Linked DNA regions of Caenorhabditis elegans. The protein of the gene in region 1 purifies or fractionates together with the protein of each later gene. This does not show direct contact. Each region holds a gene or a part of one and is shown in the gene's direction. Other genes may lie near its edges.

Region 1 (6,292 bases):
AAACTTTTCTTGATCTACATACAACTTGTGAATAATTATTTTCCGGTGTCTCCGGGATTTCCCTTTGAAATTTCAATTCAGAAATTTGCATATTCCTCAGCATGCTACCATTCCCCATACATACATTCAATTGATGAATGGATGTAATTGTTATCCCTGTATATATTGTGATCGTCTCAGAGACACATCATCTTAGTTGCCCTTGAGTGATCTGCGCGCGCGCGAGCGGGTGTACGCGTCTCTTCGAATGGGGGCCGTGACCTACATTCATTTTCAATGTCAGTTTACCTTCCACCCCCATCAAGTATTCCGTACATCATCAACCGGAGAAAAGGAAGGTTTCACTCAATGTATATCGATTTACTTCCGGATTTTTTATTCCTATTTTTAGTTGCTATTTAGCCTAAATTTTTTCTAAATTTGGGCCTGCCAGCGTAAACTTTTAAGTTTGAAGTGTACGTAGACAATTAAGTTATCTAATAGATTCAATCTTTCAACTTACTAAAAACTCGTATTCTAAAGTTTGGTAGATCCATGTTTTTACTATGCGAATATCAGCTTATGAGATCTGCCAGAAAACCTAAGCCAAAGCCTAAGGCTAAGCCAAAAACCAAACCTAAGCCTAATCCTAGGCCTAAGCCTAAGCCTAGGCCTAAGCCTAGGCCTAAGCCTAAACCTAAGCCTAAGCCTAAGCCTAAACCTAACCTATGCCTAAACCTATGCTAAACCTAAGCCTAATCCTAGGCCTAAGCCTAAGCCTAGGCCTAATCCTAGGCCTAAGCCTAGGCCTAATCCTAGGCCTAAGCCTAGGCCTAATCCTAGGCCTAAGCCTAGGCCTAAGCCTAAACCTAAGCCTAAGCCTATGCCTAAGCCTAACCTAAACCTAAACCTATGCCTAAACCTATGCTAAACCTAAGCCTGAACCATTTAGTTTATAGCCTAGCAGTCCCAAACCCTATTTAAATTCAAATATAAAGTGCAAGTGGTTCCACATTTAAACTTTTGACTGCCCCCCTCAAAAATATCACTTTCCTTTACGATCCGTAAAATCCCAAAGAGGCGTGTCCTAGTGTTAATGATCTTTGAATCACTTTCAATTCCCCCCCAGACCGTCCATTTCCAGTGACCAGCCCTCCTAAGCCAACAGCAACTGCATTATTCTGGTTTTAGGCCTTTTTCCAAGGGATATGACGTTGTCAAGTGTGTTTCATGTTTTGGCTTTAGGGGTCCAGGTACATGAGTCATTAGCGAATAGTGAAAGTTTGGTTGTGGGTATAAAAGAAATCAGTTCTAGGTGTTCAAATAGGTTATTTGGTTTTTTTAGCACCAAGTCATCAATCTACGTCTTTGAATTGATTTATATAGTTTATAAATGTAATTAGGTCTGCTAAACTTTTATAGCCTAGCAGACCATTTTTCAGAGTTTTGCTCCAACTCGAAATTTAAACCGTTAGGTGTCGGCCGCTTTATCGAACAGTTTTCAACTATGAAATAAAACTTTAGACACCCTTAATGACCTAAAATAACTGCAAAATTTTTTTTTCAAAGTTTTCGAAACTTTTTAGAATTTTTCAATCTTGCAAAAATTGAAAAAAAAACGGTCGAATTATTTTTGAATCCCCGCGCAAATGAGTGACGTCATTTTCTACATTTTCGCCTTTTTTAGGCCAATTTATTTTCAGGTTATCAAGTTTTCAAAAATTTGTAAGTTGAAAAACAGTGTTTTAAATTAACTATAGAAGACAAATCTGAAAAAAAAAGTGGTATATTGAGCCAGAAAACGCAAAAATGTCAAAAATAACGTCACTATTTTGGGCGGTAATTCAAACTTCATTCGGCCGTTTCTTTTTCGAAAAAAAAATCATAAAAAATTTAGAAAATTTTTTAAAAAATTTTAACGGTTCTATTTGGTACATTGGGACTGTATTCTGTCATTTAGTGCAAAAAAACCCACAGACGCTACTCCACCTTTAAGAAAAAAAGGAAAGTTCAAGAGTCCTCAGAACACGTTCCCTCTACCCCTCACCAGTTTCCTGCCACAGTATGAATGTAGTGGGATATGATTTGTTTCATATATCATTTTCTCTAAATAATACTGGATAAGAAGTGAGTATCTCTATCCCCACATCTCTGTCTCCCTTTCTGATAATAATCCCGTTCTTCATCTCCTTTTTCTTCTTCTCCAATTGTTCTCCCCGCCATGGAAGTTTTCTACTTCATCCTGTATTTGTATCCCCTTTTCTTAAGCGTTAACATTGAATATCAATATTATTTATTGTAAAAAATGCACAGTTTTGCTGTAATATTTTTTTTTGAAATTTGGAAAAAATAACAAATTTTTTTTTTCAAATTAAATTCAAAAAATTTCAAAAAAAAAACAAAAATTTAAAATCAAATTTCTCAGGTAATGGTCCTTCTGCTTCTGCTCCTTGCCGTCGGCACCGTAGTCGCCCAAAATCCACTGACAAAGGCATGGAACGAGGCAGTGCCCGGAGTTCAGCCATTCTGGGAGAAATATCAGACCGGACCACATGGAGTCGTTATCAGAGGATGGCAGTTTTCCAGATGTGCCAGTGAGCAGGTACTGCACTTAGAAATGTTCAACTGGAAATTTAGAGTATTTTGTTAGTTGACAACTTTTTTGTCGGAGATATTTGAAGAAAGTTAGGGAGGTTTCAAATTTTGGATTTTTTTTGGAAAAAAACAAGAATCTATCAATAGAGCGAATTTGCAACCAAAAATTTTATAAAATTCCACAAATTGCAAGTGCGCCCCAATGACAATTTTTTTTGAAAAAAAAATCCCAATTTTTCAAAAGTGTTAGTTTTAGTAAATCTAAAGTTTACACGTGGTGTCAGTGTGTCTCAATCCTGCTTGATCTACGTAGATCTACAAAAAACGCGGGAGAAGCGACGCAGAGTTTTCAACTGACGTCACATTTTTTTGGAAAAAAATTTTCCGCATTTTTGTAGATCAAACCGTAATGCGACCTGGCACCACGTCAGTTTATACGATAAACTTTAAAAGAAATTTAAAAAACGCAGATGTTGCAAACTCGCTCCACCTAGAAATTTACGGTTTTTTCATTAGCGTTTGATCTACAAAAAATGCGGGATTATTTTGCCCAGAAAAATGTGACGTCAGCACGTCCTTAGAAATGCAAAATCAGTTGGGAAGTTTGAGTCTAATTTCCCGCATTTTTTGTAGATCAAATCGAAATGGGAAATTCTGACATCATGTGAAGCTTAGGGATTTGTTTTTAAATTTCAACAACAAAAAATTGTAAAGTTTTTTTTTGGAATATAAAAATTTTCAAATTTTCAAAAAAAAAAAAATTTCACAAATTTTCTCCCCTTCCCACAATATTCCATAATTCCCGAAAATTTCAGTGGACAAACTACGTGGTAAACGTGTCAAACATTGTCATCTGGCCAGACTATCCACGTTTCCCGGGACCAATCTTTTTCAATGTTACGATGGACGTAAGCGAAGATCTCCCACTGGACAAAGTTGAAATGGACCTGGAAGTACGTCACGCCGTGACCAATAAGCAAGGATCCAAGGGATGGCAGGTGATTCCATGTCAGGGATGGAATATTATTGATGGTTGTGATGGAGTCGGCTCGTGGTTAGTTGGGAAACTTGTGGGAAAATTAAATTCAAAATTTCAAAATTTGAAATTGCTTTTAAAATAAGCGGGGTTTCTCCGGACACGCCCTAAAAATGGGCGGAGCCTATAATGGCGTGGCTTGCACCACCCCGCCCATTTTAACTATAATGTAACTATTGTACATCAAAACTGTCCAAAAATTTCCAGTTTTGGAAAATTTTAGGAACGTTGTTTATTGGATCACTGCACAAAATGTTAGTACTAATTTAGTAAAAAATGCTGAAATGCTCCAAATTTACAGCCGCTACTGTGACATGCTCGACAAATGTAATGAAGCCGTTTCGGGAGCCCACAAATACGTAAAAGACCGTAAAGCCAACGATTTCCTGAAACAGAACAAGTTGTGCCCACCACCAAAGGGGCACTGGACTATGACTTTCTCTAAAGTTTTCAGCTCTGAAGATCTTCCAAAATCCTTCTTTGGACCACTTCAATCGGTTGGTTTTTTTTTTTTGAAAGTTTATAGTTTATAGTTTGTAGTCTGCTAGACCCTGTTTTAAGAAAAAATTCTTGAAACAAATTTTTTGTGTAAATAATATTTTTTTCAAAAAATTAAGAATTATTATCCTGAAAAATTGTTCTCAAAATTTATCAGAAAAATGATTTCCCGCAGTTTTTGACTGGAGCACACTTGCGGATGGACGGTAATTCGAATTTTTGTGTGAAAAAATATTTTCAATAGTTTTTAAAAATTATTTTCAGTGCGATCTGCGGGAAATTTGAATTTTTTTCAATTTTAATGTTTTTTTTACAAATGTGCAACAAGGTGTGTTTTCATGTGATGTCAGAGAGTCCCATTTCGGTTTGATATACGTCGATCTACAAAATGCGCGGGAGAGTTGAGACGCAGAATTTTCAATCTGATTTGACATGATTAAGAACGTGTTGATGTCACACTTTTTGGGCAAAAAATTCCCGCATTTTTGTAGATCAAACCGTTATGAACAGCCTGAAACCACGTGTGTTTTTCAATTTGCAAAAAAAACTCGAGGAACTAGAGGAATTTTGGAGCTTTGTAGTAAATTAGTCTACAGAAAATTTGCAGTACTTTTCAGCAAAAACAATTTCGAAAAAAAATTCCAAAAAATTATTTTTATTAATTTTTCCTTTAAAAAATCCTCCAAACCCTTTCATTTTTTAGAATGAATACTGGCTAACATTCTCCTTCACTGACGGAAAAGACAAGAAGCTGGGATGTGCCCGTTTGTGGGTGGATGTATGCAAGTACCACCTTCAGGACAAGTCCCAAAAGTGCCTCCGTGACCCGAATGCATTCAAGAACTTTATCAATGAAATTTCATCGCAAGCTGAACATATTCGCTCCAGAAATGGAAAATAAATTGTTTAAAATTTTGAAATTTTTCTCGGAGAAAATTATTTTTCCGAAAACCAAAAAACCACTTCAATTTCCAAAATTTCCGATCTACACTCTGTGGGTATATGCAATTGTGTCTAGTAGTTTCCTAATATTACCTTTTAACATAATTTATTGATTGATTTTTGTTTCGGCCCCCACGACATGTCCATTTTTCTCAATGCTTTCATGTTGATTTTAATGAATTTTTTTTTTGAAAAATTTAATGTGAAAAACGCGCATAATTATCCAGATTAAAAACATGAAAATAATTTTAATTATATTTTTTTATTTTTTTTGCGAGATTTCTATTTACTTTTTTTAAAACAAATTGTTTAAATTCTTATTTTCCTGAAAATAGTTAATTATATTTTAATTTAGAATAATCAATTCAAATACAATATAAAATAGAAGCTGCTGTTTCAGAAAATTCACCAAAAAAATGTTCAACATAAAAAAAATTTTTAGGAATGAAAAAAATTTACCAATTTTCTTATTTGTATCAAAATTTAAATTTTTACTTGAATTTTGAATTTTTACACCGTCACTATGCAAAACTCAAGCTTTACTGTAATTCTTCATTACTTTCCGCTCGGAAACTAGAAAAAAAAATCTTTTTGACCTTGGTTATCATATGGTTGCTGGTGATATAAAAGACTGTTGTTGTAAACTTATCGATTTTTTGTGGGCAAAATGATTTATAATATTCTTTTGTTCTTATTGCTGGTTTTTGTTCATTTCGGTGAGTTTTTTTATTAGATAAAAAATTGGAAAATTTTTTTGGAAATTGTATTTTAAAAAAAAATTCAAATCTTTTTGTAAATAAATGAAAACTAAAATTTTGTAATTTTGCTTTGAATACATGCAATTATAATATTAAAAGTTGGAGAACAACCTAGAAACAATTTCGAAAAAAAAAAAATTTCCAGCAAATTCCCGAACTCTCACCGACCTCATCTGCAAGCTTAATCCATCTCGATGTGACTCCTTCCGGTCCAATCACAGAGCCAAAATCTCAGAGCACACGGGCTCCGCCGCTCCTCTGGGAGCTCCATCACTAGAGGAATTCCAGAGGTGGAATAATTACGAGGAGACTGCACAGGGCACTGGATTCTTAAAGCCTGAAACTGGAAACAATCCGGTTCCATATGGTCCAGGTAGATTTTTTAGAATTTTGAATTCTTAAAAAATATTTTTTCTGAAAATTTTGTGAGTTGTTGAGCTTGTTTTTGGGAATTCTCAATTTTTTTAATTTTGAATTTCCGAGT
Region 2 (6,606 bases), on another chromosome or scaffold:
ATAACCTGAACCATTTTTTTTCGCATTTTTTCCAAAAAAAAAAAACATTTTTCCGATTGATTTTTATCGATTTTTAGGCCAGGTTTATACTTTCAGCGAATTTTCTCAAAAATGTCTTCCAAAAAATAAAGAAGCAAAAATCCCTTTTAATATAGCCGGAAAACGCGGGAATTCAAAAATTATCGAGTTTTTGAAAATACCTTTTTTAACTGTTTGAGGCGATTTGACCAAAATGCATTATTTTACGGTTTAATAATAATACTGATTTTAAAACAAATTTGCTCGTAAAATACGGTGTTTGCACTATTCTTCGGGATCACATGAATGCACCATATTTTACGTGCAAATTAGTTTTGAATATTAATAAAAAAAATATTAGTTTTAAGTTGTAAAATCGCCTCAAATATTTAAAAATCAATGAAAAATATGTATTTTACAGGATTTTTTGAAGAAAAAAAACATCCAAATTCCACATCTAATACATCAGATTTCACCGGAACAATTTTGCAGATAATAGATCAAACGTGGAGAACATTTTCTGTAAACGACGAAAAACGGCTCCATTCGACATTTCTTCAAAATCCGCAACCAACAGATGAGCAATATTGTTATTTGGCGAAAGAACTACGTGCTCCAGTGAAAGAAGTGATGAATTGGTTCAAATTGAAACAAATGAACGAGGAACGCGAGGAAGAAGCGCTGAAATTCGAATATAAGCTTGATGCGCTCACACAGGAAAGCATCGATTTGTTCACGACAATTGTTGATGGAACTACTGTAGTCTCGGTCGCCAAGCGACGATTGGTCAGTACTGAGGGTCTCTCGCAAACGAACTCCCAGTTTTCCCGCCAAAATTGTTTTTCTCTGGAAATTTGAATTTCCCGGCAAAATAATATTTTTTTTTCTCTAAAAATTTGAATTTCCCGCCAAAATGTTTTCATCTCAAAAAATTTGAATTTTCCGGCAAAATAATTTTTTTTTCTCAAAAAATTTGAACTTTCCGGCAAAATCGTATTTTTTCTTTAAAAAAAAGTTGAATTCCCCGCCCGCCAAAAGTTGTTTATCAGAAAATTTTAAATCCCCGCCAAAATTATTTTTCTCAGAAAATTTGAATTTCCCGCTAAAAAAATTTTTCTCTGAAAATTTAAATTTCCCGCCAAATTTTTTTTTCAAAAAAAAATTTGAATTTCCCGCCAAAAAAAAGTTTCCTCAAAAAATTCGAATTTCCCGGCAAAATTTGTTTTTATCAGGAAATTTGAATTCCCCGCCAAAAAAAATTCTTCTCAGAATTTTTGAATTTCCCGCCAAAAATGTTATGAAAAAAATTTAAATTTCCCGCCAAAATTTGTATTTCGAAAAATTCGGTTTTACCGCCAAAAATTGTTCTCTGAAAATTTTAATTTCCCGCCAATTTTTTTTTCAGAATTTTTGAATTTAAAAAATCTATATTTTATCGATTTTTCGAAATTTTTCCCTCAAAAAATTTCTTCAAATCTTAGTTTTCAGCTAGCACTAGAGCTTGACGTTCCATACGAAACACTCGGTCGATGGATCTTCTACTACCGAAATCGCGAGGAAAAAAGCCGGAAATCTCCGAAACTCGAGGATGATGATGATCCACCGCCGAGGCTGGCGAAAATGCCAAGGCTTGAGATGAATGTTAGTGAAAACCTGAAAATTTCAGATTCTAGAAAAAAAATTGATTTTTTTTCAGGAGCCCGACAACGAAGAAGATATCAAACTGGAACCATTGGATTCTTGACACAATTTTTTTTGGCAATTTTTTTGAATTTTTAAAAAAAATTTCTACCGCTCTAGTTTTGTTATTTAATGGGTTTTTGATTAAATAAATGACAACCAATATATTTTCCAACAGAACAGAGAAAAGATAAACATCTCCTGAACACTCCAAAAAAGGGGTACAAGGTTAGTATCGGGAACACCGTTTGAGGCCTTGGCCTCAATTTATAGGAAATTGGCTTTTTATTTTGTTTTTTTATTAAGAAAAAATTTCAAAAATCATTTTGAAATGTAAGAGTTTGCCAGAATTAGGCCATTTTGACTCGGCCGGGGTTGATTTACGGCGCGTTGCGTGTCGCGTCGCGGCTCGATTTTAGTCCGTGTGGAGTACACGACTTTCCCACGCGTTGTCTCCGGCAGGCGATTGTCAATGGAGCGCGAAAAATGCAATGAGGAAAGCCAGGAGCCCATGATGCTACGTGACAAAAAAATTGGAAGAATTAGATTTTTTAGCTATTATAGTATGTAAGAAGCCTGCCCTAAAATCAGTTGCGCGTAAAATCTGATGCAGGGGGGTCGGCGAGCCGCACCGAAAACGATTACATCAGATTTGACGCGTAAATTCTTAGAGTTTCAAAGTTTTTAATTTATATATCGATTACAAAAAACACAAAAATGGTGAATTTTTTTTTTCGAATAAAATGGCCCAAAACCTCAAAGAACAAGTTTGCGCGTAGAAATTGATTTGTTCTCTGCAAACACCGACCACAGTGCATCAGATTTGACGCGCAACATTTTAAATTTCCAGGTGCCACTTGGCTTTTCTTCTGTATTTCGCCCGAAAATTCTGCAAATTAGCAGTTTGGGTGATTTTAGAGCACAAATTATGATATTTCTATTTTATAAAAAATCTCATAAACTCCAACTACACTCAATGCATCATATTTGACGCGCAAACTCAAAAAATATTATAATTTTTTGTTGGATTTGGATAGTCTTCTTGAGATTTTCCACTGGAAAATAGCTGAAAGTTAACTTTTGTTTAAATTATATAAATGGGGCAAATTTTCTTCTCGAACCTTCTCCACTAATGAATTGGTTAATAACCACATCTATATAGACGACAACAGAGTACAAAACCTAAGAGACGCAGAGAAAAAGTGGCGGAATATAAGATGGACCAGTTTTTGTAGGTGAGACATAGAAGACATCTCCGAAAATGCGGAGAAGGTGTGTATAAAAGAAGAAGTCTGTCCGAAACGATTTCTTGTTTTCCATCCCAATTTTTCTTTACTTTTTCATTCAAAAAGAAGACGGAAGTCTTCTGATTGATTGCATGTTTTACCCTTAAATTTTAAGATAAAATTTACAGAATGCGACGCCACGTCGTCCTATCGATTTTTGTTTTTGCCGGAATAGTATTTGCGGCGGAAGAAGCAGAGAAGCTTCCAAAGTGCGAACACGTGGACCCTTATGAGAAGTTGGTTGGCTTTAAAGATATGTATCTCTATATTTCATTAGCTTTTGAAGATATCAAAAAGTTGTTAATTAAAAAAAAATGTTAAGCACAAATTTATCCATATTTTGGTACTTGAGAATTTTTTGGTAGCTAATCCAGTTAAGAAGTTATACGCGCTTAAAGTTTTGAAACAAACTGATAACTTTAAAATCGTGTAACTCCGCGGGAAAAAATGTTTTACTAATTGACAAATTTTTATGACCTTCTATAATTAATAGGTTATCACTCATAAATTTAAAATTTCCAGTTTGGAAGGCTGGTTGGACCTGAAGCCTCTCACCGAGAGAAAATGCAATCACACTTTAAAAGAGAACCTTACTGAAGCTGTAAGTCTACTTCAAAATATTAGTTATTTGTCTAACTCATCAAATATTTTTCCAGGAATCCAAGAAATCCGAATGGGGAATTAAGAGCTTTGCTTTTGATGCTCTATCTTCGGAGAAGCTGGGACCGAATAGAAATGTTGGAAAGCAGGCGCATAAATTGTGAGTCAATAAATTTTCATATTGAAATTTTGATGAGAACTCCAAAAAATCTTGTAATTTCAAAATTCCTTTTTTTGTTAGAAATTCTACGCGTTTTACTGGAATAGAGGGGATTCTTTACGATTTCAGAAATTTCCTGATAGATTTTAAATATTCGTTTTCGATTTATGTTTTCAGAGAATTTGATTAAAACAAGTTCTTAAAACAACACATCTTGAAATCTGAGACTAAGTCTCAGCCTAAGAATAAGCCTAACCTTAACCCTAACCCTAAGCCCAAGCCTAAGCTTAAGCCTAAAACTAAGCCCAAGACTAAGCCTACGCATAAGCCTAAGCCTACGCCTAAGCCTAAGCCTAAGCCTAAGAATAAACACAAGCATAAGCCTAAGCCTTAGCCTAAGCGTAAGCCAAGTTCTAAGCCTTAGCATAAACCTATGCCTAAGCCTAAACCTAAGCCTAATCCTAAGCCTAAGCCTGACCTAAGCCTGAACCTAAGTATCACCCAAAAAAGAGAACTTTTCAGATGCGAAGAAGAAAAGTACGATGCCAGTTATTCCACATCAGTGGTGGTAATTCATCACAACGAGGCTCTCTCTACGATCCTTCGAATGATCAACGGAATCATCGAATTTACTCCAAAATCGCTTCTCAAAGAAATTGTGCTCTATGAGGACGCTTCTGAGGAGGATCACGTGCTCACTAAGCATTTGGAAAAGTTCGCGAAGATTAAGGGACTCGAGGATAAGCTGATCATTAAGAGAAGCGAGTATAGACAGGTGAACATTTGAATATCCGGTAAAAAATGTTCCCAGAAAATTTGAACCTTCCGTGTATTGCAAAATCCAAATTTCAGGGTCTTATCCGAGCAAAGGTTCATGCTTCAAGATTAGCTACCGGTGAGGTTATTGTGTTCATGGACTCCCATTGCGAGGTGGCCGAGAGATGGTTGGAGCCACTGCTACAGCCGATTAAAGAGGATCCAAAGAGGTTTTTTCTTGCAAAATGTTACTGGAAAACCAAAAAAAAATTTCAGCATCGTCCTGCCAGTCGTCGACCTGATCAATCCAGTTTCCTTCGACTATTCTCCATCGATGGTTGCCAAGAGTGGATTCGACTGGGGATTCACGTTCAAATGGATCTATCTTCCATGGGAATACTTTGAGACGCCCGAGAATAATGTGAAGCCTTTCAAGTAGGAATATGGTGCATTAGTAATAGGGAATACGGGTTATTTTTCAGCTCCCCAGCCATGCCAGGAGGTCTTCTGGCGATGAGGAAAGAGTATTTCGTTGAGTTGGGAGAATATGATATGGGAATGGAGATTTGGGGATCCGAGAATATTGAGCTCTCGTTGAAGGTGAGTCATGCGCCTTTAAACTATGTGGAGGCGAGGTTGCGCCCGACATATCGCGGGCTTTTTTGGAAACCAGAAATTGTCGGACGTGTGCGACACCTAGCGGCTCTCAACAGAGCTTAGTGGCGGAACTCATAATTTGTCGGCTGTTGGACAAGCGCGACACCTAGCGACTCTCAACATAGCTTAGTGGCGGAACTCTTAATTTGTCGGCTGCTGCGGCTGGTGCGACAACTAGCGGTTTATGGGCCGCGGTGGAACCCAGAAATCGTCGGCTGCACTTCTTTGTTGTTCAATTTTTTCAGGGTCAGAGTTAAATACAAAAATTGGTAAATGATTTGGAAGACGCATTTCTTGAAAAAATTTTTTGTATAAAATAGTGTTTATCCTTTTCCGACGTTTTTTTCCGAAAAAGAGAAGAAAACATAGCCCGACACCTTCCGGGGACCCCCGCTCACATGGCGTAACTCATAATTTGTCGGCCGCAGGCAAAATACGCGCGCCCGACATTTAACCGGTTTCCGCCACTGCCAATTACTCAGCGCGCCCGACACTTCCAGAGTTTCGCCACTCGAGCCCGTCACTTGTCGGCCGCTAATAAAATCACCCATTTTCCAGGCTTGGCTCTGCGGCGGACGTGTCGTAGTTGCTCCTTGCTCACGTGTCGGCCACGTGTTCAGAATGCGCCGCCCGTACACCTCAAAGCCAGGAATGGATACCGCTTTGTACAACGCGGTCAGAGTTGCCAAAACGTGGCTCGGCGAGTATGAGGTTTGTGGTTTTTTGTCATGAAAATGAAAAAACGCCAATTTTTAGTCCAAATTCTTCGCTGTAAAGCCACGTGGCGCAAAGATGGTGTTCGGAGATTTGACAGAGCCAATGCAAGTGAAGGATCGTCTCAAGTGCAAAGATATGAAATGGTTTATTGAGAATGTTTATCCAGAACTTGAGCCAAAAGTTCATGATGAACTATAATTAGTTAACGTATTTTAATAAATATTTTGAGTTTTTTTAAAATTTTTATTTTCAAAAGTCAGTATCAAAATCAGAAGCAAAATCAACAACCAGGAAAGAGGAAATAAGAATCACATAGAAATAAACCCATTCAAATGTTTAAAGGCACATTAATAAATTGTACAAATCTGATGACGTCATCATCTCAAACTCGCTGACTCTTCATCGGGCTCTGAAATGGGGTTGTCGAGTTGCTGGGGCTCCCGCTGCTCAGCTCTTTATACTGGTATCGTTGATTGTATTTGCCATAGAAGAAGCCGGCGGTACAGCCTGGAAAATGGTACTACTTAAGAATTTATTGATGCACCATGCCTTGAAAAATTGTTTACGAAAATTTGTTCGAAATTTCAGATAAAAAATTTTGCGGGAATTCAAATTTTCTCAGCAAAACTTTGACGGAAAATTCCAATTTTCTGAGAAAATTTTCGGTGGGAAGTTCAAATTATCTGAGAAAAATTTAGTGGGAAATTCAAATTTTTTGACAAAAATTTTGGC
Region 3 (5,959 bases), 9.8 Mb from region 1:
CGTAAATAAAAATTGTGAAACTGCCAAAAAATGAAGACTGAAATTTGGCATTTGGGTGATAGAAAAGTTGATTTTCTTCAAATTCCGTCTAAAGTTTCTAGAATTGCCGTATTATTAATATGGGACAGGTAGTGAACCGGTATGTGCACGGAATCACTCATTAAAAATTCATTATATATTTAGACATTGAAACCGGATAAACCGGACTGATAGTAATTTTGAAAATTGCTGATTGATATATGAAAAAATAACTCGTCATATCTATCGTCTTTCGGATCATCCTGTTTGCTCGTCCCTAGAAATTTGTTCCGCTGTTTTAAATTAATGAATCAGATCTGAACGTATATTTGAGTAATTCACTTTTCCAAAAATAGCGCAAGAAATATGTTCCAATGGTCTATTACACCCACTTTGCCCCAAAGTCTGATCTTATATAATCTGACAACAGACTTCAGAAAGTCTGGTCTTGTGAAAGGATAAGAGCATAAAAGCTTCAAAACATGTAAAAGTTTTCAGAGAATAAAAACATTATTCCAAGGATCATGAAGGATGACTAGCGTCAAAGAGGACTTTGCATTGAAATGAAAATCGTCTGAATATCTGAAATTCTTGCAAAAAATTCTTGCAAAACAATGTTTCCACATAGTGTCAGGCTGCCCCATTTCGGTTTGACCTACAAAAAATGCGGGAATTTTTGCCCAGAAAAATGTGGCTATTTGGTTTTTCGAGAGGGTTTAAATTACATATATTAATGCAACCAAAAATCACAACGTACCAATCACAAAATCTATTAATATAAACCTAATATTTCCGGATTGGCCGCCAACTATAATTCGTTCATTTCATGTACTTGGACGCTTCCTGATGTATCTGAATAGGAAATGATCAACTTTTAAGACATCCTCGTGATGATGAGACACTCAGATGAGAGACTGTACTCTTACGATAATCCACGTGTTGTTATCATAGATTAAACACCTGGGATGAGCAAGTAACGAATTTTTTGAACAGTTTTTCGAGGTTTTGAGACTTGAAAAATACGGAAGTTTCGGAAGAAGTAGGTAAGCCGGTACTGACTTAGTATAAGATTAGAAAAGGATCATGGTCTTATACTTTTAGAAAGACTTGGTAAAGAGTAAACTGAAAATGAGTAGGTGAGCAGTAAGAATTCAATTCTGCCGTTGGCGAGGGAACGCTTACAAAGAAGCACATATATTTTCAGAAAAAGCAGAATTACCGTAAATCGGATGCTTCTCAATATGGCACATCTACTATTTCGTTGCAAATATAACAATCTATCGTGTCTCGAAATACCACGAAAATCCAAATTTTAATTAATTTTCCGTAGTTTTTCTTGCGATTTGTAACAATTAATTTGTTTGAAATTAGTTTTTTATAAATTTCTATGAAAATTTTTTAACGAGAAACTATGAAAAATCGATGAAAAATCCGCAGCAACAAAAATTTTAAATTACAGTACTCTTTAAAGGCGCAGATCCGTTTGTATTTTACCAAGAGAGCGCGTGGCAAGACCGGGGACCGTATTTTCTAACGCTCGATAATGTTATATTCGAGTTTTTTTGAATTAAAAGGGGTCTACTTTCCGATTATGACCTCAAAAGAGTACTATAATTACAAACTTTCGTTACTCTAGAATTCTCCTCGATTTTTTATAGTTTTTCGTTGTAAATACATTTAATTATTTACAAAAAAACTTTTTTATAATTCAAAAACACATAAATGTTAAAAAATCGATGAAAATTCCACAGCAAAATTTGTTTTTGAAATTACAGTACTCTTTAAAGACGCACACCCTTTTGCATTAAAAAAATTGTCGCTTCGAGACCGGGTACCGTGTTTTTTTTGGCGAAAAAAGCCAAATTCAGTGCCTGGGTAATATTGTTTTTTTCATCCTTGAAAATAACTTCTCGAAATAAATTTTCAAGAGACCAATTTCAATTCCGCCTACGCGTTGTCTCTATTCAATTTCTTATTTTCATTCAGCGTAGCAATGAAATTCGAAATATTTGGAGAAAAGACAGTGGCTTCCATAAATACTCAGATTTTTGTCGATCGAAATACGACGAAATTCCGGAAATATTTATATATTGTGTAGCTTTAGTTTAAATTTAAATTTAACTCTGCAATTTAATATTATGCAATTAATCGATTAAACAAAGTCTTTGCAAGTTTGTAAACTATTTCTGCCTACTGTACTTTGTGTGCAAACACCGTGACGCAAACGATGCACTAAAACTGCATCGAATTAAAAAATCGAATTATTTTTTATTTTTCGAGGAATATTTCTTTTTTTTTTAACTGTTTCTCCCAATATTCAATTTTATTTAATCTTTTCCCGCTAGAATAATTTATTCTGGATACGGTGCGCGAAATTCTGCATTTCCAAATGTATGCCGGCGCCAAATACGACGCCATCTCGTGATTCGAATTTTTTCGTCATTTCCTCGAGCTTTTCTAATTTTCTCCTACTTCCTGAGAAATTTAAGACATTTTCTTTTTTCAGACTTTCTCAAACATTGATTCAGATCAATAAAATGGGTGATAACCTGGTGTACGCCGGTGAGTTTACTTTAGACAGCTTTGAATAGGCCGTAAAATTGCGAAATTTGTTTCAGTTCGATCAAGTGAAGGCTTCTACCTGAAGCGCGGGCTGGGCAAAGACGCGGTGACAGTTTTTGAGCAGAATAAGTACGTAATTCAGAACAATTATCAGGAATCAATAATTAAATGTATTTTTTAGAACCTCGAGAGACGTCGCTTGCAATGTGTTCGCTTACAGCAACAACGGACAGCTGTTCGCCTATTGCGATAATCAAGTGTAAGAAGAAGTTTCAGGAGAGGAATATATAGTTAAATAATGTTTTTTTTTTAGAACACGGGTATTCGAGATCGCAACAAACAAGGAGATTCTTTGTGTGGAGCTGAAAAGAACTCGGAAGATCTTGTTCTCACCAAAAGACAATTTCCTGCTCACATTCGAGCCATGGGCAGTTTACGGACCAAAGGTTTGAATAATTTTTTATTTAATTCAGTTTGAAAACCTTTTTTTCAACTTTAGACTGCAGAGAACCAAAAGCCAGAACCAAATGTGCGAGTCTACAGTCTTGCGGATGGAAAGCACGTATCAACGTTCTCAGCTCCAAAAGAAGCATCGTGGGAGCCTCAGTTTTCGGATGATGAGTCGTTGGCTGCAAGAATGGTTGGCAGTGAAGTCTTCTTTTATACAAACATGTCTTTCGGTATGAATTTCATGAATTTTCTGAAAATTGATATTATTATTACGACCGTTATCATAAAACTTATCTTTTCAGACCGTTACGACCACAAGCTTGTCGAGAAGGGTGCGACCAACTTCGCATTGAGTCCAGGTCCTGCTCCGAATCACGTGGCTGTCTATGTCCCTGCCGTTGGATCCACTCCAGCTCGCGTGCGAGTTCATCGAGTCTCCGAATCGTTCCCAGTCGTCGGCAATCGTACGTTCTTCAAATCTGACAAAGCCGTAATGACATGGAATCAGCGTGGTCAATCACTTCTCATTCTTGCTTCTGTTGAAGTGGATAAGACAAATCAATCTTATTATGGAGAGCAAAGTGTTCGTTTTAAAATTTTCTCAAATCTCCCCAATAATTATTTAATTAATTTCAGCTATACCTTATCAACATTCAATCAGGAGAGTCTGTAGTTGTTCCTTTGGAGAAGAAAGGTCCAATTTACGCTGCAAAGTGGAATCCCAACGGCCGAGAATTCGCTGTTTGCTATGGTTATATGCCAGCCAAAGTGACATTCTATAATCCGAGAGGAGTTCCAATTTTCGACACGATTGAAGGTCCACGAAACGATGTTTTCTATAATGCATTTGGAAATATTGTTCTGATTTGTGGATTTGGAAATATCGCGAAGGGAAAAATGGAGTTTTGGGATGTGGAGACGAAAAAGGAGATTATTTCGATCGAGGTGCCAAATACAACTCTTTTCGATTGGGCTCCAGATGGTCAACATTTTGTTACATGCACCACTGCTCCAAGGCTTCGTATAGATAACAGTTACCGCTTCTGGCATTACACGGGTCGAATGCTTGCTGAAACTCACTTCGAGTCTCCAAAAGAGCTGTGGGAAGTTCGCTGGCGTCCAATGACTGGATACAACAAGTTTGCCATCAAAGAGCTAACCAAGACGGACAAAATGGCCGCTGGCTTGCCAATTCGAAAGAAGGATGCATCTCATCCACTGAATAATGTTCCAGCAGGAGCAGTTCGTCAGGCTGGTGCCTACATTCCACCTCATCTCAGGAAACCGCTAGGAGGTGGAGGATCAGCTGGACCACCATCAGCTGCAGCACCTACGCCAGGAAACCAGAATCAACGGCCTGCACAGCCACGTGCTAATGGAAACGGAAATGCTCCACAACCATTCCGACCACAGCAATCGGAACAAGAAAGGAAAGCATTCCAACTCAAAAAGAAGGTTGAGGAGATTAAAGTTCTCAAGGTGAGTTGTGCGAAGTTTCAAAAATATTTTCAAACAAATAATTTCCAGCAACGAGTGGCGAATGGCGATCAACTTCAACCAAACCAAATGGAGAAGATCCAACGTGAAAACGAATATCTCTCAGAGCTCTCCAAACTGACCATTTAAAATTGTGTTCTTTTTTTCTGTGTTTTTCCCTCGATTATCATTTTTTTGTTTCTCTTTTCTCCCGATTGACTCACCTGTTTCCTATGAGTTTTAGACTTTATACATTCGAGTGAAACCTGAAATTTTTCCCCAGTTGTTTTGAATATCTATTTATCAATTGTCTTCCATATTCTTTTAGCCTATCTTTTTCTCTCCCCAATCTCTTATTATGATTGTTTATTTCTTTAATTATTATTGTCATAATATGAACTCCCGTAATAAGAGTAACAAAAAAGTGATGAAATGAAGGAAGTTACGAGCTGTTCGTCTCGATGCTCTTCTCTCGTTTGATGTAGTCGGTGATCTCCTGTCGCAACTTTGGATTACACTTGGCGTAGATGAAAATACGAATTGCCGAGGATGCCATATAGCAGATGGAGACAGTATCAGACAAAACTGAAATGGAAAAGTATTTTATTATTATAATAGAAGTTTTTAAAAACTAACCGATATAAAATGTGCTCGACTGCATTCGATCCGTGGATTCGTAAAGATAAGATGGATCGAACCTCTCAAGGATCGTCAGAAAAAGATGAACGCCATTACAAACCAAATATGAAGTGACAATAGCCAACATCGTGTAAATTGCATTTCGAAGCTGTGATCGCTTACTTCGGGATGATCTGGAACAAAAATAATTAATTTTGGAAAAGAAATGAGCTCCAGTGAGCTCAAATGTGCTTCTAGAAGAAGTTGACATGTTTTAACATCGAATATGTAGAAGTTCAAAGCGCCAGCTCTTGGTTTCACATAAATATTATTATAGGACCGCAGAAAAAAACTGATCGACATATTAGCGCGCTCCACGGTCAATGGAGAACGCCCCGCCCCCAAGCTATGGGTCTCGTTAGGTATTTGGCCGGAAAATCGTTAATTCAAACGTTTTCAATCATTTTTTCGTATTTTTTGGTATGTTTTCCGTTGTTTTTAATAGTTTAGGTATGTTGAAATTTAAAAAAAAAATAAAATTCACAACTTAATGAAAGTTTTCATGCATCTTTAAAAAATCATTACATTTTTTTAATCATTAAAAATAACGGAACACATATTATTAAAAAGCCAAACCGGATACACTATTGGAAAACGTTCGAATTTACGGTTTTCCCCAAAATACCTAACGAGGCCCAATTTTTTTACGTCCCCATAATACTTATTATTAAATTTTCGAATTCTTTATCCATTTGGAACCATGGGGCGCGTTTTCTGACCATCTGCAAGCGATGAACGTATAATATGATAAAATTACACAGTAGTGAATAGAAGA
Region 4 (4,506 bases), 4.0 Mb from region 1:
TTCATCAGACAAGTATCAGGAGAAGGGGGACTCTACGTAAGGAACCCAGTGGGATAAAAGCTTCATGTTCTAGTTTTCAGAGAAATTTTCACAATCGCTGAATGTCTATCTCTACATAATCTCCAGGCAATCAAGAATACTGGAAATTTGAAGGATTTTTTGTGAGTTTTTTTTTTGCAGGATTTTCAAACCCAAAACTAAAAAAATTTCAGGTGCGGCGAAGAACCAGACAAACAAGTCGGCGAGGTGCCATTCTTCGGAGTTCTGTGTGGATGTGCTCCAGTATAAAATTATTTAACTAGTGCCAAATGTATAAACAATTTTTGAATTTTTTGAAGATTTTTCAGAGAAATCTGTCCTCGAGGCACAATATAAATTGTTCTTACAATGTATGCCTAGTTTGAAAATGTATATCATGACTCGATTTTTTTTGTGTTATAAAAAATTTTCCCTCTAGAAAAAGTTGAAAAATAGGTAGAAAAATAAAATGCGTCATTTCCGCCCAGCCCCCGAGATACCGTATCATTTTGATGTATTCGGGGAATAATGGTTCCGCAGAAACGGAATCATTGAAGGGATGTACAGCTTTTTTATAGCTTTTGACTAGTACAAAAGCATACTGAAAGCTTCTTCTTGAACTCTTCATAACATGTTAGTTTTATTCTTACTATTCTTGGTTGTTCCGGCGGTTTCTGCAAAGGATCCAAGATGCCCAAAAAACTTTACTTTTGTCAAAAGAACACTAACTTTTAAGAATAATTTTACAAAGGGGTGGTGCTTGGGGGTACGTTATTGATAGAGACAGTACCCAGTTTTAAAATACACTTTCAAGATTTTCAATGGAACGGATGTGGGAAATCGTGACCGAGCCCGCTCAGTCTGTCTCTATCATAACGCTTCGCTGAGCAATCCAGAAAATTCACATGAACTTGAGATTGTTTCTGGTAAGTTGATCATGTTTTTTTTTAAAGACATGTCTTCAATTCAAAATCGCTAGGAAAAATATGCTTCTAAATGTGTAATTAATTTTTAGACGTTATTCGCGCACGGAACATTTCCCTCCCGATTGCACTCGACGGACAACTCTCTCCAAGATGCAAGGCCCTTATTTTCAGAGGCGAACAGAGCCAACAATATTTTGACCAAAGAACAGAGGAAGGAGATTGCAATATTAACAATCATTTGTTTGTATATGATGATATCAATACAGATACTTTATTTATCCGTTCCAAACTAGGTACTTCGGCTGGAACTAATGGAGGATACTCCAGTCAGGAGGACGGAGTAAAGTAAGTGTATGAAAATTTCTAGATTCAACGTCAAACAAGTCTAGAATTCAATTTACAGATTTCGTTTCACCAGAGATTGTAACGCATTAACAGATGCATACTATTACTTTTCTAATGGAACACATTTCTATGCGGTAGATGGACGAACTGAATTGCTCGGATGCTTTGGGGAAAAGGATAAGCAAAATAAACACGAATATAGTAGTGTTCTTTGTGGAAGATTCCCTCTCTGAGTTAATTGATCAGAAAAGACAGTTGTTAATAAATATTTTGGAGTTGTTGTTCGAATTCATCACTTGTGATTATATCAGAAAATACCAATTTTGCAACAAACATCAGTCGAGGATATGCATAATTTTCATAATAAGTATTTTTTGATAGCTAAAGATTGGAGCTAATCATATTTCAAAATTTACAGAGACAGGACTATTTTAAAAGTAAACTACCCTGTAACAAATCAAGAGTTTCGAAGCTTGAAATCAAAAAAAAACTTATTCTTGTAAATCATTTTATATTCTACCTCGGAAGCCGACAAAAGCTTGGTTTTAAAAAATCTAGCTTCAAAGTCTTGTTTTCAACCACAAATGTTTGTGTACATAAATTTTTGGATAGGTATCATAACAAGCAAGAGGGCCTTATGTTAGTCATAGGCTTGCACTCAGTTGCTCAATTTTGACGGCTAATAACTAGGTTGTGTTTTGTTTTACCAAAAATTATAAGCTGACAAAGAATGTGTTACAAATTTCTCTACAGTTTTGGTGTTAAATGTTTTTGATAAAAGGGCTGAAAATGAGGGTACTTTTGTTAGAATCTTTATTAGATCAGATATTTTTTTGTTTCAAAGCGCATGGTTTCAATATTCTTGACAACTTCTATCAACCTACGTGTTATATAAGAATTTCTTTGAATGAAATCATCCAACCTGATGAAGAAATATAATGCGTCGTTTCCGCTATCCAGCCCCGAGATACAGTATCATTTTGATGTATTCGGGGAATAATGGCTCCGCAGAATCGGAAACGCTACAGGGGGCGAACAACTGTTTTATAGCTTTTGACTAGTACAAAAGCATGCTGAAAGCCTTCTATGAAGTTCAGTATAAAATGTTAGTTCTATTCCTACTATTTTTGGCAGTCCCAGAATTTTCTGCGAAGGATCCAAGATGCCCGGGAAACTTTACGTATTTCAAGAGAACACCGACGGCAAAAAATAACTTTACAAAGGGATGGTGCTTGGGGGTAAGTTGTTCATATCAATGACACCTAAATAGTTTTAAAATGATATTTCAAGATTTTCAATGAAACGGATCTGGGAAATCGCGACCGAGCCCGTTCAGTATGTATCTATTACAATGCGTCGTTGAGTATTCCAGAAAATTCACACGAACTCGAAGTGATTTCTAGTAAGTTTTTGAGGATTTTTTTATTGCTGCATGCGGAAAAATGTAAAATTTCCAGAGACTGCTAGCTTGAGAAACATTTCCGTACCAATCGCTCTTGATGGACAACTCTCTCCAAGATGCAAATTCGCAATTTACAAAGGACAAGTAAAGGGTGCAAAACGATTTAATCAAACTTCTGAAGAAGGAATTTGCAATATTAAATATGAATTGTTCATATATGATGATATTAATACGGATACTTCATTCATTCGCACAAAGCTAGGTGTTTCGGCAGGATCAAACGTAAGAAGTGTACAAGCTGATGATGATATCGAGTAAGTTTTGAAAATCGACTTTCCTATTTGCATCCAACATTTCATTTTCAGGTATCGCAGTACAGCAGATTGTACCGTTTTGGAAAAAGGATCGTATCACTATTCTAATGGAACACTAAAAGATGGGCACACTAATTTGATGGATTGTATGGGACAGCTAGCTGGCTCCAAGAGGCTACCAGAAAAAAATGTCACCGCCGTTCTTTGTGGCCGATTGCCGTTCTAAGTAAATGTATTCTATCATTTCTGGAAAGATTAATTTTCAATATTTAATAAATATTATATTTCCGAAATCTTTCTGATATTTCTTATTACCTTAGCTGATTGAAAAGATAAGGTACACCCAATTTGTTTCCGCAAGTGAACTTCAGGTTATTCTTAGGCGACGAAAATCCCTGTGCGGGTTTACAATTAAATCATTTTCGCAACGAAACATTTCCTTTTACAGAGTTTTGACAAGTGTGTATACCATTTTTGTAAACTAAAAGTCAATTAATTCATCTTAACTTTCGTCTCGAACTTTTCGTTTTTAAGTTCCATCTTGTTGATAATACGGCCTAAAAATTGTAAAAAATTTCTCAAAGCTTCCTATTTTCTGTGTCAAGAAAAATCGGAGAGCTCTACATTATCTCTTTTTTGGCTTCCGGAAAACTTTTAGAGTAAATTTATAATGTATAATTTATGATAAACCTCAAGAAAATAGGTACAACAAGCATCTGCTACGTCCAAATCAAAATGTTTAGAAGAATAAATACTACGGTAGAGCATTTTGTGGGTGTTGTTGAACATCACGCTTTTGTTGAAACGATCAAATGCTGTCGGAAAATAATGGCTCCGCATGGCTTAGTCACAATTTTATCGATTTCAATAGGTACAAAACCCCGCCGAAACTTTTCAAAACTGACAGAAAAATGTTCGTTTTCTTTTTGCTATTTTTGACTGCGGTTTTCGCAAAGGATCCACAATGCCCAGAAGGGTTTTCTCATGTCAAGAGAGTCCCAACTGCAAGGAACAATCATACAAAGGACTGGTGTTTGGGCGTAAGTTCCAAGTTTTGGGTTTTGTGTTCATAATGCTTTATGACCATATTTCAGGTTTTCCAATTCAAGAACATGGGAAACCGAGACCGAGCTCGATCATTTTGCAGTTATGTGAACGCTTCATTGACCATTCCAGAAAATGAGCACGAGATTCAAGTGTTTTCTGGTAGGGATATTTTTCAATAAAAACATTTTCAGTGTTGTAATCTTCAAAAACTTTCAGAAATCGCCCGAGCTCATGGAATTGAAGCTCCTTATGCTGTTGACGGTCAAATTTCTCCAAAATGCAACGGTCGTATTAATAAAGTCGAAATCATACTTCGTCATCGATTCAACAGTACAGAAGAAAAAGGAGATTGTAATATCAAGAATAATCTATTTTTGTTCGATGATGTCAATAGTGACACTACATTCATGCTGAGCCATTACAAACGTCGACTTCCAGCTGCTTATATGGTTCA

What was found.
Region 2: the proteins of mlt-8 (region 1) and gly-8 fractionate together in Caenorhabditis elegans (co-fractionation; one large-scale study listed by BioGRID). This does not show direct contact.
Region 3: the proteins of mlt-8 (region 1) and eif-2A fractionate together in Caenorhabditis elegans (co-fractionation; one large-scale study listed by BioGRID). This does not show direct contact.
Region 4: the proteins of mlt-8 (region 1) and clec-137 fractionate together in Caenorhabditis elegans (co-fractionation; one large-scale study listed by BioGRID). This does not show direct contact.

Annotation. Positions count from the first base shown.
Region 1 is NC_003280.10:568,223-574,514, reverse strand, and holds mlt-8 (uncharacterized protein), read left to right. Parts: upstream 1-2,404; 5' UTR 2,405-2,407; coding exon 2,408-2,581; intron 2,582-3,389; coding exon 3,390-3,628; intron 3,629-3,911; coding exon 3,912-4,107; intron 4,108-4,811; coding exon 4,812-5,009; 3' UTR 5,010-5,235; downstream 5,236-6,292. Other genes in the region: W08F4.5 (Nodule-specific Glycine Rich Peptide), read left to right, coding at 5,718-5,766, 5,954-6,181.
Region 2 is NC_003281.10:11,622,130-11,628,735, forward strand, and holds gly-8 (putative N-acetylgalactosaminyltransferase 8), read left to right. Parts: upstream 1-3,112; 5' UTR 3,113-3,113; coding exon 3,114-3,220; intron 3,221-3,506; coding exon 3,507-3,585; intron 3,586-3,640; coding exon 3,641-3,744; intron 3,745-4,266; coding exon 4,267-4,519; intron 4,520-4,596; coding exon 4,597-4,730; intron 4,731-4,776; coding exon 4,777-4,935; intron 4,936-4,982; coding exon 4,983-5,100; intron 5,101-5,715; coding exon 5,716-5,868; intron 5,869-5,913; coding exon 5,914-6,072; 3' UTR 6,073-6,106; downstream 6,107-6,606. Other genes in the region: ceh-91 (Homeobox domain-containing protein), read left to right, coding at 511-804, 1,507-1,659, 1,715-1,762; Y66A7A.7 (IMV envelope protein), read right to left, coding at 6,257-6,381. UniProt on the Caenorhabditis elegans protein: Potential glycopeptide transferase involved in O-linked oligosaccharide biosynthesis. In contrast to other members of the family, it does not act as a peptide transferase that transfers GalNAc onto serine or threonine residue on peptides that have been tested.
Region 3 is NC_003280.10:10,414,282-10,420,240, forward strand, and holds eif-2A (Eukaryotic translation initiation factor 2A), read left to right. Parts: upstream 1-2,524; 5' UTR 2,525-2,555; coding exon 2,556-2,580; intron 2,581-2,636; coding exon 2,637-2,709; intron 2,710-2,761; coding exon 2,762-2,839; intron 2,840-2,893; coding exon 2,894-3,026; intron 3,027-3,079; coding exon 3,080-3,260; intron 3,261-3,332; coding exon 3,333-3,613; intron 3,614-3,666; coding exon 3,667-4,509; intron 4,510-4,557; coding exon 4,558-4,656; 3' UTR 4,657-4,948; downstream 4,949-5,959. Other genes in the region: frpr-21 (G-protein coupled receptors family 1 profile domain-containing protein), read right to left, coding at 4,949-5,091, 5,143-5,318. UniProt on the Caenorhabditis elegans protein: Functions in the early steps of protein synthesis of a small number of specific mRNAs. Acts by directing the binding of methionyl-tRNAi to 40S ribosomal subunits.
Region 4 is NC_003280.10:4,615,944-4,620,449, reverse strand, and holds clec-137 (C-type LECtin), read left to right. Parts: upstream 1-2,359; coding exon 2,360-2,527; intron 2,528-2,579; coding exon 2,580-2,691; intron 2,692-2,746; coding exon 2,747-3,005; intron 3,006-3,056; coding exon 3,057-3,231; 3' UTR 3,232-3,298; downstream 3,299-4,506. Other genes in the region: clec-139 (C-type lectin domain-containing protein), read left to right, coding at 1-36, 81-161, 213-288; clec-138 (C-type LECtin), read left to right, coding at 650-784, 833-944, 1,034-1,289, 1,348-1,522; clec-136 (C-type lectin domain-containing protein), read left to right, coding at 3,917-4,045, 4,100-4,211, 4,269-4,506.